Linked DNA regions of Neodiprion lecontei. The protein of the gene in region 2 interacts with the protein of the main gene of each other region in a biochemical or structural test. Links are inferred from orthologs where the notes say so. Each region holds a gene or a part of one and is shown on either strand. Other genes may lie near its edges.

The links.
Region 1: of the proteins of serine/threonine-protein kinase Warts (region 2) and MOB kinase activator 1B, one has a biochemical effect on the other in vitro, tested with the Drosophila melanogaster proteins (2 studies listed by BioGRID). The link is inferred for Neodiprion lecontei from reciprocal best matches to the Drosophila melanogaster genes wts and mats.

The regions. Positions count from the first base shown.
Region 1 is NC_060266.1:18,783,732-18,791,978, forward strand, and holds the start of MOB kinase activator 1B, read left to right. Parts: upstream 1-2,197; 5' UTR 2,198-2,491; coding exon 2,492-2,505; intron 2,506-3,032; coding exon 3,033-3,199; intron 3,200-3,903; coding exon 3,904-4,131; intron 4,132-4,267; coding exon 4,268-4,431; intron 4,432-5,135; coding exon 5,136-5,216; 3' UTR 5,217-8,247. Other genes in the region: heterogeneous nuclear ribonucleoprotein H, read right to left, coding at 240-498. UniProt on the Drosophila melanogaster protein: Coactivator of Warts (Wts) kinase in the Hippo/SWH (Sav/Wts/Hpo)signaling pathway, a signaling pathway that plays a pivotal role in organ size control and tumor suppression by restricting proliferation and promoting apoptosis.
Region 2 is NC_060260.1:180,841-185,658, forward strand, and holds the start of serine/threonine-protein kinase Warts, read left to right. Parts: upstream 1-1,804; 5' UTR 1,805-2,474; intron 2,475-2,642; 5' UTR 2,643-3,078; intron 3,079-4,818. Other genes in the region: uncharacterized protein LOC107221828, read right to left, coding at 407-508, 608-846, 951-952. UniProt on the Drosophila melanogaster protein: Negative regulator of Yorkie (Yki) in the Hippo/SWH (Sav/Wts/Hpo) signaling pathway that plays a pivotal role in organ size control and tumor suppression by restricting proliferation and promoting apoptosis.

The DNA.
Region 1 (8,247 bases), on a different chromosome or scaffold from region 2:
AATTCTATTTCAGTCTTGCTTAATCGTAATCACGCCATTATGTAATTAAAATTTTTGCTTGAAAAAAATACATTGTGACCACTAAATAAAAGCTGTGCAGTAAAATTTTTTAGCATTGTGAAAATTAAATACCTATATAAGCAGTGTTTTAAACCAAATCATAAAAATTTCAGATTGCAACAAATGTCTTGATATTTCCTGGTTTCTGTATAAGTGAGAAATGCAAACAAGTAGGATACCTTCGATGTACCGATGTCCCATGTGATCTCTATCTCGTTTACATGCCTTCTCGATATCCTCTTCCGTGTCCATTTCAATGTATGCTTCACCGCTGGGTCTTCCTTCTCTCGACATAGTCATATGAATGCCGGCTTTGCCATGCGAAATGCTACAGTCGTTGAAGAATTTCAATATCTCATCGACGGTTGTGGACCAAGGTAGTCCTCGTAGTTTTACGACGTACCCTTCCTCGTCGTGATCGCCACTTCCGTTCGACATGCTGGTCTGAGTGGAAAGGGAATGAAAATTTGAAACACGAATATGAAAAATTGTAGGGTAAAGAGGTTGCCTTAGTCGATTTCGACGTTATCGGAAATACGTCCAAATATCAAAGTCCACGTATCGCAAGTGCAAAAAAGGGTTTAACAGCCCCATTCTATACGTAATTCTGAACAAAAACACCCCGAAACATTTTCATTTGACACAGCAGTAAAGAAACGGCTTGAATTCTATGAATTTACTGTTACGATTTCATAGAAACCGTACCATTTCTTTACTTCTGCCTCAGGTCAAAATTTATTGCGAGTTTTTATTCAAAACTGTCTATAGAATGAGGCTTTTAAACCTCTTTTTGCATTTCAGGTACATGAACTTCGATATTTGGAAATATATACGTCAACAACGGAATCGATCAGGGTACCTTGATGAAAAATCTGTGATATGATTACTCATCAAATTGAAAGTTTAACTCACATCTTACGATGCTTGTGAATTTTTTTCATCAAACTCATGTCACTGTTACCAGCTGATTAAATAAAAGTTACCAGCTCACTGAATAAAATTTCAGAAATAAGTGTTTCAAGCTAATCATGTGATAAAATTTTTTATTTTGAAAATCGGTATTGAAACATAGAAATAGGCTAAACTTGGTGGCCAATTAGACTAATTTTACAACGATATGAAAATACACAGTCAATTGTTATTGTCTTGGTTGGTCAATTTTCAACTGCTAAATGACATGAAATGGAAATAATGGTCAAAATTGATTCAGCGTAGTGGCCAGGCGATTTAGTGTATTGGGCGGTATAAAGTTCTTACTTTGCATAAACGCAATTTACGAGTTTAAATTGAAGTGTTGATTCTCGCGTCGAAGTGACGCTTGAGAAAATATGAAGGTAAAGATACGTACAAATGCATGCACGACGAATGAGCCGTAAGGCGATTATATTATACTCACGGTTTACGGTGATCGGATGGTATCAATGTGTGAGAAAGGAAAATGCGGCGATGGTACGTAAAATATGTAGATTTATTCTTGTCCCTCGACGATATTTATTCCGCACAAGAATAGTCCGGCAAACTTGCGCCTACTTCTTCTGTGCAAACGCATCCAACTCCGATTAATTTGCAAATGGCGATGTTCGTTCGTTGCGCATAGACAATTAAGAATATATATAGATTGTTCGCTGCTCTACGACTCCAAGTCACAACTCCAGTAGTGACATCTTAGAGAAATGGGATAATTTTCGAGACGCATGACGATAACGGACTACTACTCTGCCGTATTTTAGCATCACGGAAGCAGTGGATGTTTGTAATTTGTCCGGTTGCGACTACTGATTTTCGTAAATATGTGTTGTACCATTCACTGCTTTGTCATCCTTATGTTGTAGTTATGCAGCAATTTTTTTTTCAATTTTGCTTGGAAAGTTCAATGTTTGAATCCTGTTGAATGTGGCCCTTCAATCTTCCGGCTAACTCGTTTTCAGCCTAAAAACAAAATGCAACTTCGATTCTATATGAATTTTGCAACAAATTAATCGACACAGGGTGCGTTCCTGAATCCCTCTATCGCAACGACACTCGTGGTCACTAGGCGAAACGGCCGGTGCTTCAATAAGAGGACATACCCCCATCACCAGAGTTTCCAGACCTGAATGTAAGACCGTGGTTTCATGTTCTGTTTAGTGTTGTCTGGTTCGCTCTGACTCCGTCTGGCGCAGCGAGGGCGGTCCTGTCGACTGCTCGAGGAACGAATCATCGCGGATTGCGGAGTCAAGGAGGGCCACTGAGGAGGGCAGCAGTTAACTCAACCGAACCGAAAACATCTGTGGACACACCAAAAAACTGAGGATATTCCCATGTTTATCGCTGTCAAAGTTCCATGCGCATTTCGATCAGCGTGATACCGTACTTTTTCACATAAATATCAAGGGAATAGTTGGAATTTCTCACATAGTCAAACAAATAGCTGATCAAAATATCTCCAACGATGAGCTTCCTGTTGTGAGTACTACTACACTTCGGAACGGCCTTTCTTTTTCCTCTATTTTTATTTTTATTTTTCCGTATTTCAGTTAGTCACTTTTTTACAACACCCGAGTACACTCACGCTGACGAGAGTAACACAAAAAATCGAGTTGACAATAGGCCTGTTGTTATGTATACTCTTTATCAATTCACCTATAAATATACCTATGCCGTTTCGTCCCCAAATCGATATTTTATCCGTTCTAAAATGCCTCATTGTATCGTATTTGACAGCTCTGTCTCGCTTTCTCTATCTCACTTCCTCTCCCTCTCTGTGCCATTTCTATTTCATATTATTGCCATTTAAAGTTTCTGACCTGCACTTCGAACAGAAAATTTCGAAACTAAGTTCATGACAAAGTGATCTCTGGTTTGCATAGTGTTTTTCATACTTCTTTATACGACCAGTTTGTTAAATAGACTAGATGTTATTTTCAATTAATCAGAAACAATTCTTTGCCTGTTTCTTTTTATTTCATATCATGTATTTTTCAATAACTTAGCGGAAGCCGATCTTCGAAAACTTTCAAGCCAAAGAAGAATATCCCTGAAGGGACGCACCAGTATGATTTAATGAAACATGCAGCGGCGACACTTGGCTCAGGAAATTTACGTCTGGCGGTGATGTTACCCGAGGGTGAAGATCTCAATGAATGGGTTGCCGTTAACAGTGCGTAACTTATCTTCTCTGAAATTCATGAATGAAGGCAATCTGGACTCGAGTCACTTCGCATTTTCATGTGTTTGTCAATCAAACCCACCAATTTGAATTATACTTTGGATTTTTATTTGAAATGATAGATATTATTTGAACGAAGTCATGAGTTGAATTGGAAAATTTCAATGATATCTTATTACCTTGTTATGTTTGGGATGAAATCAGGGCCGAACCATTTGATAAAAACTTTTATATTTCGATTGCAGAATGCCCGTATAGTCAAACTTTGGAGATTTTGTGCCCAATAAAAAACTGCATCGTGTCTATAAAAGACGGGATACATGATTTTTGAATTAATTAACTTAAGTAATCACCGTTGCCAGTTACAATATCAGTTAGGATGCGACAAACCTACAGTTCAGTTATGCATTGGCTATAAATTTGTGTTATCTGCTTTTAATTATGAATCAGACTTGAACAACTTCCTCTATGTATAATCGCAGTGTAAGTATGCGAGTAGTCTGAATCATGGAATACGATTCTACTACAGATGAATATATAGTTGGATTGTGTGTAAATTCACGTATTACATTAAAATTCATGAATTTGTTTGGTATTTCGAAGCCATGCCAATCTGAAGTGGACAACATAAATCTGAATTATTGACAATGAATAACATTCTGGGTTTAAATTTGTATCGGAATATTTTTTTTCAGCTGTCGATTTTTTCAACCAAATAAATATGTTGTATGGAACCATTACGGAGTTTTGTACAGAAGAGAGCTGCCCGATTATGTCAGCTGGTCCGAAGTACGAATATCATTGGGCCGACGGCCACACTGTGAAGAAACCAATCAAGTGCTCTGCGCCCAAATATATTGATTACCTAATGACTTGGGTGCAGGATCAATTGGATGACGAGACTCTGTTTCCATCAAAAATTGGCTAGTATTCTAAGTATTGGCTAGCTATTAATCATCACTAAAGTATATATTGTTATGAGCGTTAGAGTTGCGCATACAGAAATTTTACTTTTAATTTTAAATTTGTGTTAACGGATCAAATTTACTACACTTTTAGGAGTGCCGTTTCCAAAAAATTTTCTCTCAATTGCCAAGACTATATTAAAGCGCTTGTTCAGAGTCTACGCACATATTTATCACCAGCACTTCAGTGAGGTTGTTCAACTGGGAGAAGAGGCACATCTTAACACATCGTTTAAGCATTTTATTTTTTTCGTTCAGGTAAGCAAAACCACGATATAAGTATTAATATCGTGAAGTCGTTCTTACAGTTTAGAATTCAGTGCTTATTATTCAGAGACACGGATCTCTTTTCTGAGGATGCATGTGTATGACTAATTCGGTTTTACACTCAACTTCAACTTCATTGATTATCAGCCATTAATTATACTATCATATTTTTCGCAACCTTGACCGAATTTTTATTTAAAGGCTATATCTCACTAACTATACTTTGCACTTGTAAACCAGTTCTGCATGTAAGTATATTAGCTAGGTACGAATTTTTTTTTAGTAATATCAAGCACTACAAACCTTACCGCATTTTCGGAATAATACATGATATACAAGTGGCCTTTTTTGCAAAATTAATACCTAAATATTAGTGTTATTATCTTGAATATTTCAGAGAAAACGCATTCGTTACATAAACCGAGAAAATTTTGGCTCCAAATTAAAAAAGTGTAATTCGATTTTGGTGTAAAATTGGAAAAATTGTACAGTAAGAGCTTCTTTTTGGAGAGTTTTACAAGTTCTTATATTAATAAAGTCACATACACTTAATAAAGTTGTTTGGCCAACTTTATATTAACAATAATTTCGATATTCTGGCTCCCATTGTATTGTGCAAAATCATTCTATGCATGTAAACTGTATTTAATTCAGCTGAGAAAATTCAGTTTCGACATCATGATTATTGTTTCTAGGAATTTAACCTAATAGACAGACGAGAATTAGCCCCATTACAAGAGCTAATTGAAAAACTGACTGCAAAGGATGCTCGATGAACACCCTCCACTCTGATCATCGTCTGTGAAGCCTCTCCAAAGAATCTCATCAATGCTATCTCTGTTAACTATCTATCATATAATAATTATTTTATATTATTTAAATAATCGTATCGAATCATATTTCAAAGCAAGTCTAATGCCGAGTCAAAAGCCTTCGTACGGCTACTCTTCTTCATTATATTGCAGTTTAAACTGTGATTAAAGCTTTTTCAACAACAGTAATTAGTTTTGTGCACAGTTCGCAAAACATTTTTTTCCATTGATCTAGTGGATGAGCTTAATATCATGTGAAAGCATTTGGTGGAAAACAATATAATTCACTCATAATAATTGAACCCCAAATGATGTGCTTCGAACAGATAATAAGTCAATAGGTAAAATTTCAAGACAAAATTGAAATGTGTGAATACCTATATAAATTATTGTTAAATAGATGAATTATTTTCAACGTTACGCTGCTTAGAATTGTATGAACTTTTTTTTATATTTATTTAATTTCAATTTTTTTTTTTTTGTGCTGTTGAAAGACATCTGTGTAAGTTTCTTTATCATACTATTAGTTGCAAATTTTTCTTCAATTCTTAGTCGTTGAATTCAATTAAATAATGAAAACAGTATAATAAAATTTCCTAGCATGTAATGTTTATTGCTGTGGAAGGTAGGCTGTAGACAAAAAGGTGATGATTTGTACTTCAAAACAATTTTCATAAGTTAAATAATTTTATATTCAACTTATCGATATACGTGGATATAAAAACCGATTTGAACTTCATTGCAAACATGAATCGTCATAGAATTTCAGAATAACGCTTGAGTCAATCTCGTATGTATTAAAAGAATATTATGCGACCCTTTCGTTAGTGCTTTTTTGTCTCAGACGAAGAAAAATTTTAAAAATGCCTTGAAATAGGTGCAAGTAATATTATCCGTGTACGTCTAACAATATTAGATATTTGTTACGTAGTCTATTATCAATTATACGGCGAAAGTATACGGCAGAGAAATAATATTGAATGTGAAACATTGCACCGTGTTGACTATATAAGGGTATTAATGTAATTTATATTAATAGTTTTTATATTAAACACTTATAAAACGATCGATCTATAGAAATACTAATCTTTTTAAGAAAAATACGAAATGAAAAAATTAAGAAATTCCAAAACGATACATGAGAAGAACTATACTCAAAAGTAGAGTACAAGTGGATCAAAGCCAGAATGTTTGCATGACCTTTGTCACGTAGTTAGCATTGTTTACCGTTTTCAATTGGAATGGTATTGTCAATCTGGACAATGTGTAGAATAAATAAAACAAATGATCTTGAGCCAGATGGTGTATGAACATCTAGGAAAAATAATAACAAGTACTGCATACATAAATTGAATCTTGTGGCAACGATAACTTTGTTTCTTACTTTCTTTTAAATTCTATGTACACTGTATGTATTTCATACCGTTTATCTTAGTAAAATATTGAATTTAGAATTTTAAGAAAGATAGTCGTAAAAATAGACGAGATAAAAAGAAAGTATCTATTTAAGTTTTCATCTATTTTAACGATTAATCTTCATTGAAGAGCTTTTAAAGAGAATTGTTATGTTTCAGACATACAATGGGAACCAAACGTTGAAATCGTTGAGTAAGGCGACTCTGACGACGATTTCGTTAACGATCTAATATTTAAACAGCATGTGTATTATTAATAACTAACGTATAATCAACGTCCAGGACTCATTCCGCTTACCCTAATTTTTGCTCTCCCTCTATTGGGAATTTCTGTATATATATGCGACAAGCTAATTAACTGTCTGTATAGAAACCACGAAAAGAAAGAAGAAAATGAAAAAAAAAGTGCATACCGGTCTGTTTATGCTGAATTAATATATTTCGATGTATTCATTTCGATCATTTTTGAGAACTTATATTTTTTAAGAATTTACATAGAATACGTTTTAAGACAAAAAAAAAAAAAACAAAAACAAAAAAAACGAACAAATATTAATTTTTTACTTTTAGCTTATACATAGTAATTAAAAATATATATGCGTTATTCACTAATAACAATAATAATAGTAATAATAACAAGAACATCAATTATAATTGTTATCATTATTATTATTGTTATCATTATTCTTTGTACGGAAGATTTTCGTGTACATATTTATTTTTATGTTTTTGCTTGACAAATAATAATCAATTTATTTAAGAAGTAGTCCGAACTCAATGTCGTACCCACATCTATATACGTATAGATGAAGCAAAACTGCACACTATTCACTGTCTAATCTGATATTAGAATGTAAATGTTTTGATTTTCAGCTGAATATACGAAATACCGCTAATGCTAATTTCATTACGAACATTGAGTAGTATGAATATGGATTGCGTAGTTGCCACTGAAAAAAATTAAATTTAGATTTAAAAAAATTAATAAATAAAGCATAGTTTCATGTATTCATAACTGTAATAGATAGGCACATACATATGTTATTACTCACAATAATTCAGCGCTTTTCTTCTGAATCGACTTCTCATTCAACTGTCTTACTAAACTTATGTAATTATATACATATTCATTTGTGATATTCCGGCACTCCCAAAAATTACAGTGGAAATTTTTTGCCTCGTACGAGAGCATATCAGAATGCAATTTTGTAACGATGATGTAACGATACGGATAAAAAATCAATTGTGCGTTTGGTACTTATATTTTTCTTCGATTATTAATCTGCAGTATAAATAATAAAATCCTGACATGTTTCAGAAGTCTTATTGTTAAAAATATTTAAATCAATATGCAAAAACACATATCCAATAATATATACGTAGGTACAACATTCGTTTTTTTTTTTTATTAATAATATTACTGCATACATTTTACCAGCAGTAAATTTCCCGTACCATCAAGTAAAACAAATTTTTGTTAAAATTATGTCGAACCTGATTTTTTTAAATAGACGAACAGGATGGTGAAACGTTTTTATCTTTGGTACATGAATCTGTTACAGTGATTATATTGCGAAAAT
Region 2 (4,818 bases):
ACCCAGACAATTTGAGAATATAAATGAATATGCTAACATATGACAAAAGGCTTATACAAAGAACTGAAAGGGTCATTGCCTTTATCATATAGAACCATTAATGTTGGTGATTTTGTATATTTTATTTCAATTCATTTTCAAGTTTTGTACAAAACTTAGTGATTGTATAACTCGGAAGTTCAGATTTGGTTATTTATATGTATAGTGAACGCTTATTTTGAATATCAATTGTGTATAGATTGTAAATAGTAAATATAAATAGAAAATAAATGTCAATTTTAACTAACAGTACAATTTGCAGAAAATTCCTGCTCTTGAATTTTGAGTGAACTTCCAGTTAATTAAATTAAATGTATGTACAAATTCATTCGCTGATTTTCCTATCAATACTTTTTTACAATCTTACCACGAATATCTGGGTTCTTGTTTTCCTTATACAGCGTAGTCGAAGGTCCATCTTTTGAGGGTATGACATCATCCGATGGAATTCCGCTGACGTGTGGTTGGTCTGGAATTAAATTTTTCAATATAAGTAAAATTTTAATGTAAATGCAAAAACAATTGCTTGCATTTGTTTGCAAGAGCCAATGATACTGATTTGTTTTACCTGCTATCGCAACACAGCTTGTTTGAGCCGAAATTTGCAGATCCTTAGACTCTGTATGCAGCTGTTCTTGGCGATGATTACCGTCAACAGGTCCATTCAATGTTGGAACTGCATCACACGTTAGTAAACATCGTGGATATTTTTTCCAGATATATTTTGGCTCAAAGTGTTTGTTACATACACGAAAATCTCGCCGGTTCGGATTCTTGGCTCGGATGAACTCATGCCATTTTTTGCGCCTGTATTATGAAAAATCATGATGTACATTTGTTTTCATAATATATGAAGATACGTGGGGACCCACAACATTCCCGTGAAAGCGAGGTTATATATTCATACTTACATACAGTTGCTCTTTTTTTGGTAACGCGAAAAACGTCACTCGTCCTCCATTATTTATGCTTTGATTTTTGATATATTTGTAATTGTAACATAATTTGACGTCACAATAAATTGGCATCTTTGGAAAAATGTTTGTTTGTTATCCAACGTTTACCCAAAGATTATAGCAACGCGTCATCACACCGACAATACTAACGCAATCACATCTTCACTAACGCTACACGTACGCGTTATATTTTTCCTCTGAGCCGCTAGAGGCGCTGCAATAGGGCGATACGGGTAAGATAATATATATTATCTTAGATGCGGGTACCTTCCACCAACTAAAATAATGTATATATTATCTTAGCCTGCTCGAGGCCCAGATCAAGGGGTCCACATGGGCTTCACTCTGTCCGGAGAGCAATGCAGTATGCATAGGCATTGCATGTACATACATACATACGTAGTCTCACATTGGTAAATGATTGGTAAACACAGACGGTAATCTTTTGAAATCAAGCAAGAGTCCGGCGGTAACAGCAGTGCCCACACTTATCGACTCACTCATGAGGATTACAATGATGATTAAATCGGTAATGGTAGGAAGTTTTTTTTTTTTACCAATGCTTCCTGCACCTTCACATACTTTCCTACTTTAACAATATATAGTGATCGAAGGTGTAAAACGTGTAGAAAGTGTTGCTAGCACGAACAAACCCAGTTGTGTGTGGTTCACCGAGTAACCATGGTAAGAGCGACGATAATGCAGAAACCTGAAGTTACCCCCGAGCAGACCCGAACTTGGTGCACCAAAAAGCTGTCACGCGATGTAATCCGAGGTTGGTAATCTCTGACATGAGCGTATTGTAAAGTCAACGCCTGTGGAGTTCGGCTCCTCCAGGCCCCTCACGGTCTCTATCTTTCATGAATTGGATACCTATTTTCGTAAATTTGATGCATCTGCCAATGCATACTATTTAATTTCATCCAGAGCATGCGTAAATCTATGATTTACAACCGATACCCAGTTAAACCGTTGAATTCAAATGGAATAGCTTACCAGCCTTAAATGATTCGAAAGTAGCGCCGATATTGATGCCAGTTCAATGAATCTTTCATATTTGTTGGATATAGAGTTAAGCCCTTCGAAGAATCGTTCTTATAAATAGTTAAAAATAACTGCAACTTCGACTGCAATGAATATTTGTAATACGGAATGCTGATATACAATTTGTGTATGTATATACGTACTAGAAATTGTGAAAAAGATTGTCAAGTCAGTGAAGGAATGTGGCACTTCAAAATGGCTGCCAGCCACTTTAGTAATTTACGGCTGTATCTTTCTTTGTTATCGCTTTTATGATTTCGACGAAGTTTTCTCAGTTTCAATTATTTTCTTCGTTGTAAAGTGTTTGCTCTAACGTTCTATAATTATTTCTGGTCCGGTCTATAAACCCTATTATAATGTGACTACGGAATATGCTCTCGATCCTCAGCTGGCATCACTCTCGGTTTAAAGGAATTTATATCAAGATATTCTTGAGTAAGAGGTTTTATATATTTTACAAAAGAATCTACGCACGGCTACTAACAAGCGGCATAAACAATTAGTCGTTATCGGCGATCAATTCGCAAATTACCGAGTCTCTAATTCGGTAGTGTGGTGTATGTATGTCTTTATATACAATTTATTGAAATTGTTTCATTTCAGTAATAAAATATTAGCACTTCGTACTCGTCAGTGAAATAATATCCCCTCAACGTTTTGAAACTGTATTCAACTAGAAAATTAAATAATATATATAGCTACAATGGTGTGCACAACTTGCGCTCTGTAACTTGCCACTCCTATTGGAGATTGATTTTCTTTGGTGCAGCCAGTTTTGCAAATAATTACAACCCTCCAAATGAATCTTATCGTAAGCCTTTAAAATTTTCAAGAGTGCACAGCATTGACAGTTGGTTCAGTGAAGTGAATTCAAGTACCAAATTCCACGTACAGTGATCGGCAACAAACTGGTTCACAAGAATTTCTTACCATTGTGCCTCTTAACAGTGCTAAAAAATAAACCATTGGTGTTGAATACTGCCATGTCAGCGAAGGATTTCATTAAGGAATTACAATACTAGCTAGCCTTATTTGTTTGGTAAGCATTAGTAACTCTACATCATTGTTTATAAAATCTACCATTCTTATTCTTATTAGCGTCATCATCATCGTCAGTATCATCATTGTCATTACTTCCGTTAGGAGTTGTAGTACTCTTCGTCTGGAGACCAAAGCATCGCAGGAGAGAATATATATTTTCATTATGGATTTTGTGTACACGAAAATTCATGATTAAGTTTTACACATTTTACCTCGGCAACAAGTATAACACTCATCATTTAATATTTAATTCATGATGTGTCCTTAGTGTAAATCTAATCGAAGTTTAACAAGTTCTATTTATATTTAGCTTTTGATATTGATATGACAAAATAACAGCATGCAAGTCATGCTGAAGTCACACAGGAGTCATATACCATTCCTACTAAAACATCCTAAACTTTGACAAAGTCAAGTGAAACTCGTATTCTAACCTTCTGAGGGCGATAGGAACTAGAAGCATGATTCAAACCTCATGTGTGTGCTCGAGTTTCAGATAGCAACGGAATATAACAATTCATATAAAATCGAGCGGTTGTATAACAGAGGCAAAGCATATCCTTATCTTACCATACTCTAGTGTAACCTCAGCGTGACTCGTGTTCAGTCACTTTCTATGCGAATATCCATAGCGTTATGTCTATAACCATTTGAAAGTCCTATTAGCCTCTTTACTTTGATCTCATATAGTAATTACTTTATTTAAATTTTTTCTATACCATTTGTGCACATACATGCATGCTGGTGTTGTTTTGTCAGGTTGTTGAACAGGTTTAAACTGACAAATTATATCATCAATTCTTAGCACCTGAGAGCAAGCATCTTGTTAGATGCTATAATGATTTATTTACCATGTCCATCGCTTTTATGATTAAAAATTTTACTAGAATGAAATTAAAAATGTAAGTTGCATATGAAATTATGCCACAGCTGTGTATGAAACTCGAGGATATCGTGAATCTTGCATACGTCTGTCATTACTTGTGACAAGTTCGAGAATCATTAACTCTACTGTTCAATTGAATGATCGGTCAAAAATTTTATTCCATTTCTTCCATAAAATACACGCTCGAGAGAAAACCCCTAATGTTGTATGATTCTTTTGGGTCTGTTATATCATAAATAAAACCACCTTATTATAATATTCCGTCAATCGAAGGTGGTCGCCAAATAAATAGTCAATTCGATTTGAAAGTTTTTCACTATCATAGTCCTGAGAACACCGCAAATGCGATTCACATTTGGACCATACCAACTACACATGTACAAAGATAATGCGTTTTTACTTTGAATTGAACTACATTATTTACAATAGAAAATAGAACTGAAACGGGATTCAAATTGTCGTAACCTTTTGAAAGAAAGTCTCACGCAAACCCAGTATCTTTTGAATCATTAATTGCAGTGACTCCAGAACATTTGCAACTGTTTTCCTTTGCAAAGTGACATCGATATAGCATATGAAACAATTAATTCTAACGTTGGTCAAAATTGGTCAAGATTTTGTCAAACATCAAAAGAGTTTGCAATTTTTATAGCTGAAAAACTTATTGGCTGAAAATTGATTTCTAACAGTTTTTTCCGTCGAATTGGGAATTCTTGAGAACTCACAAAGCACAACCAGAATTGTGTAAACTACAAAATTCTGTGCCTTGCAACACAATGGTTTTTTTTGCCCTACTTGCAATGATAGAAACATTGCAAGTATAAACACAAACATAACATTTCAATACAAAGA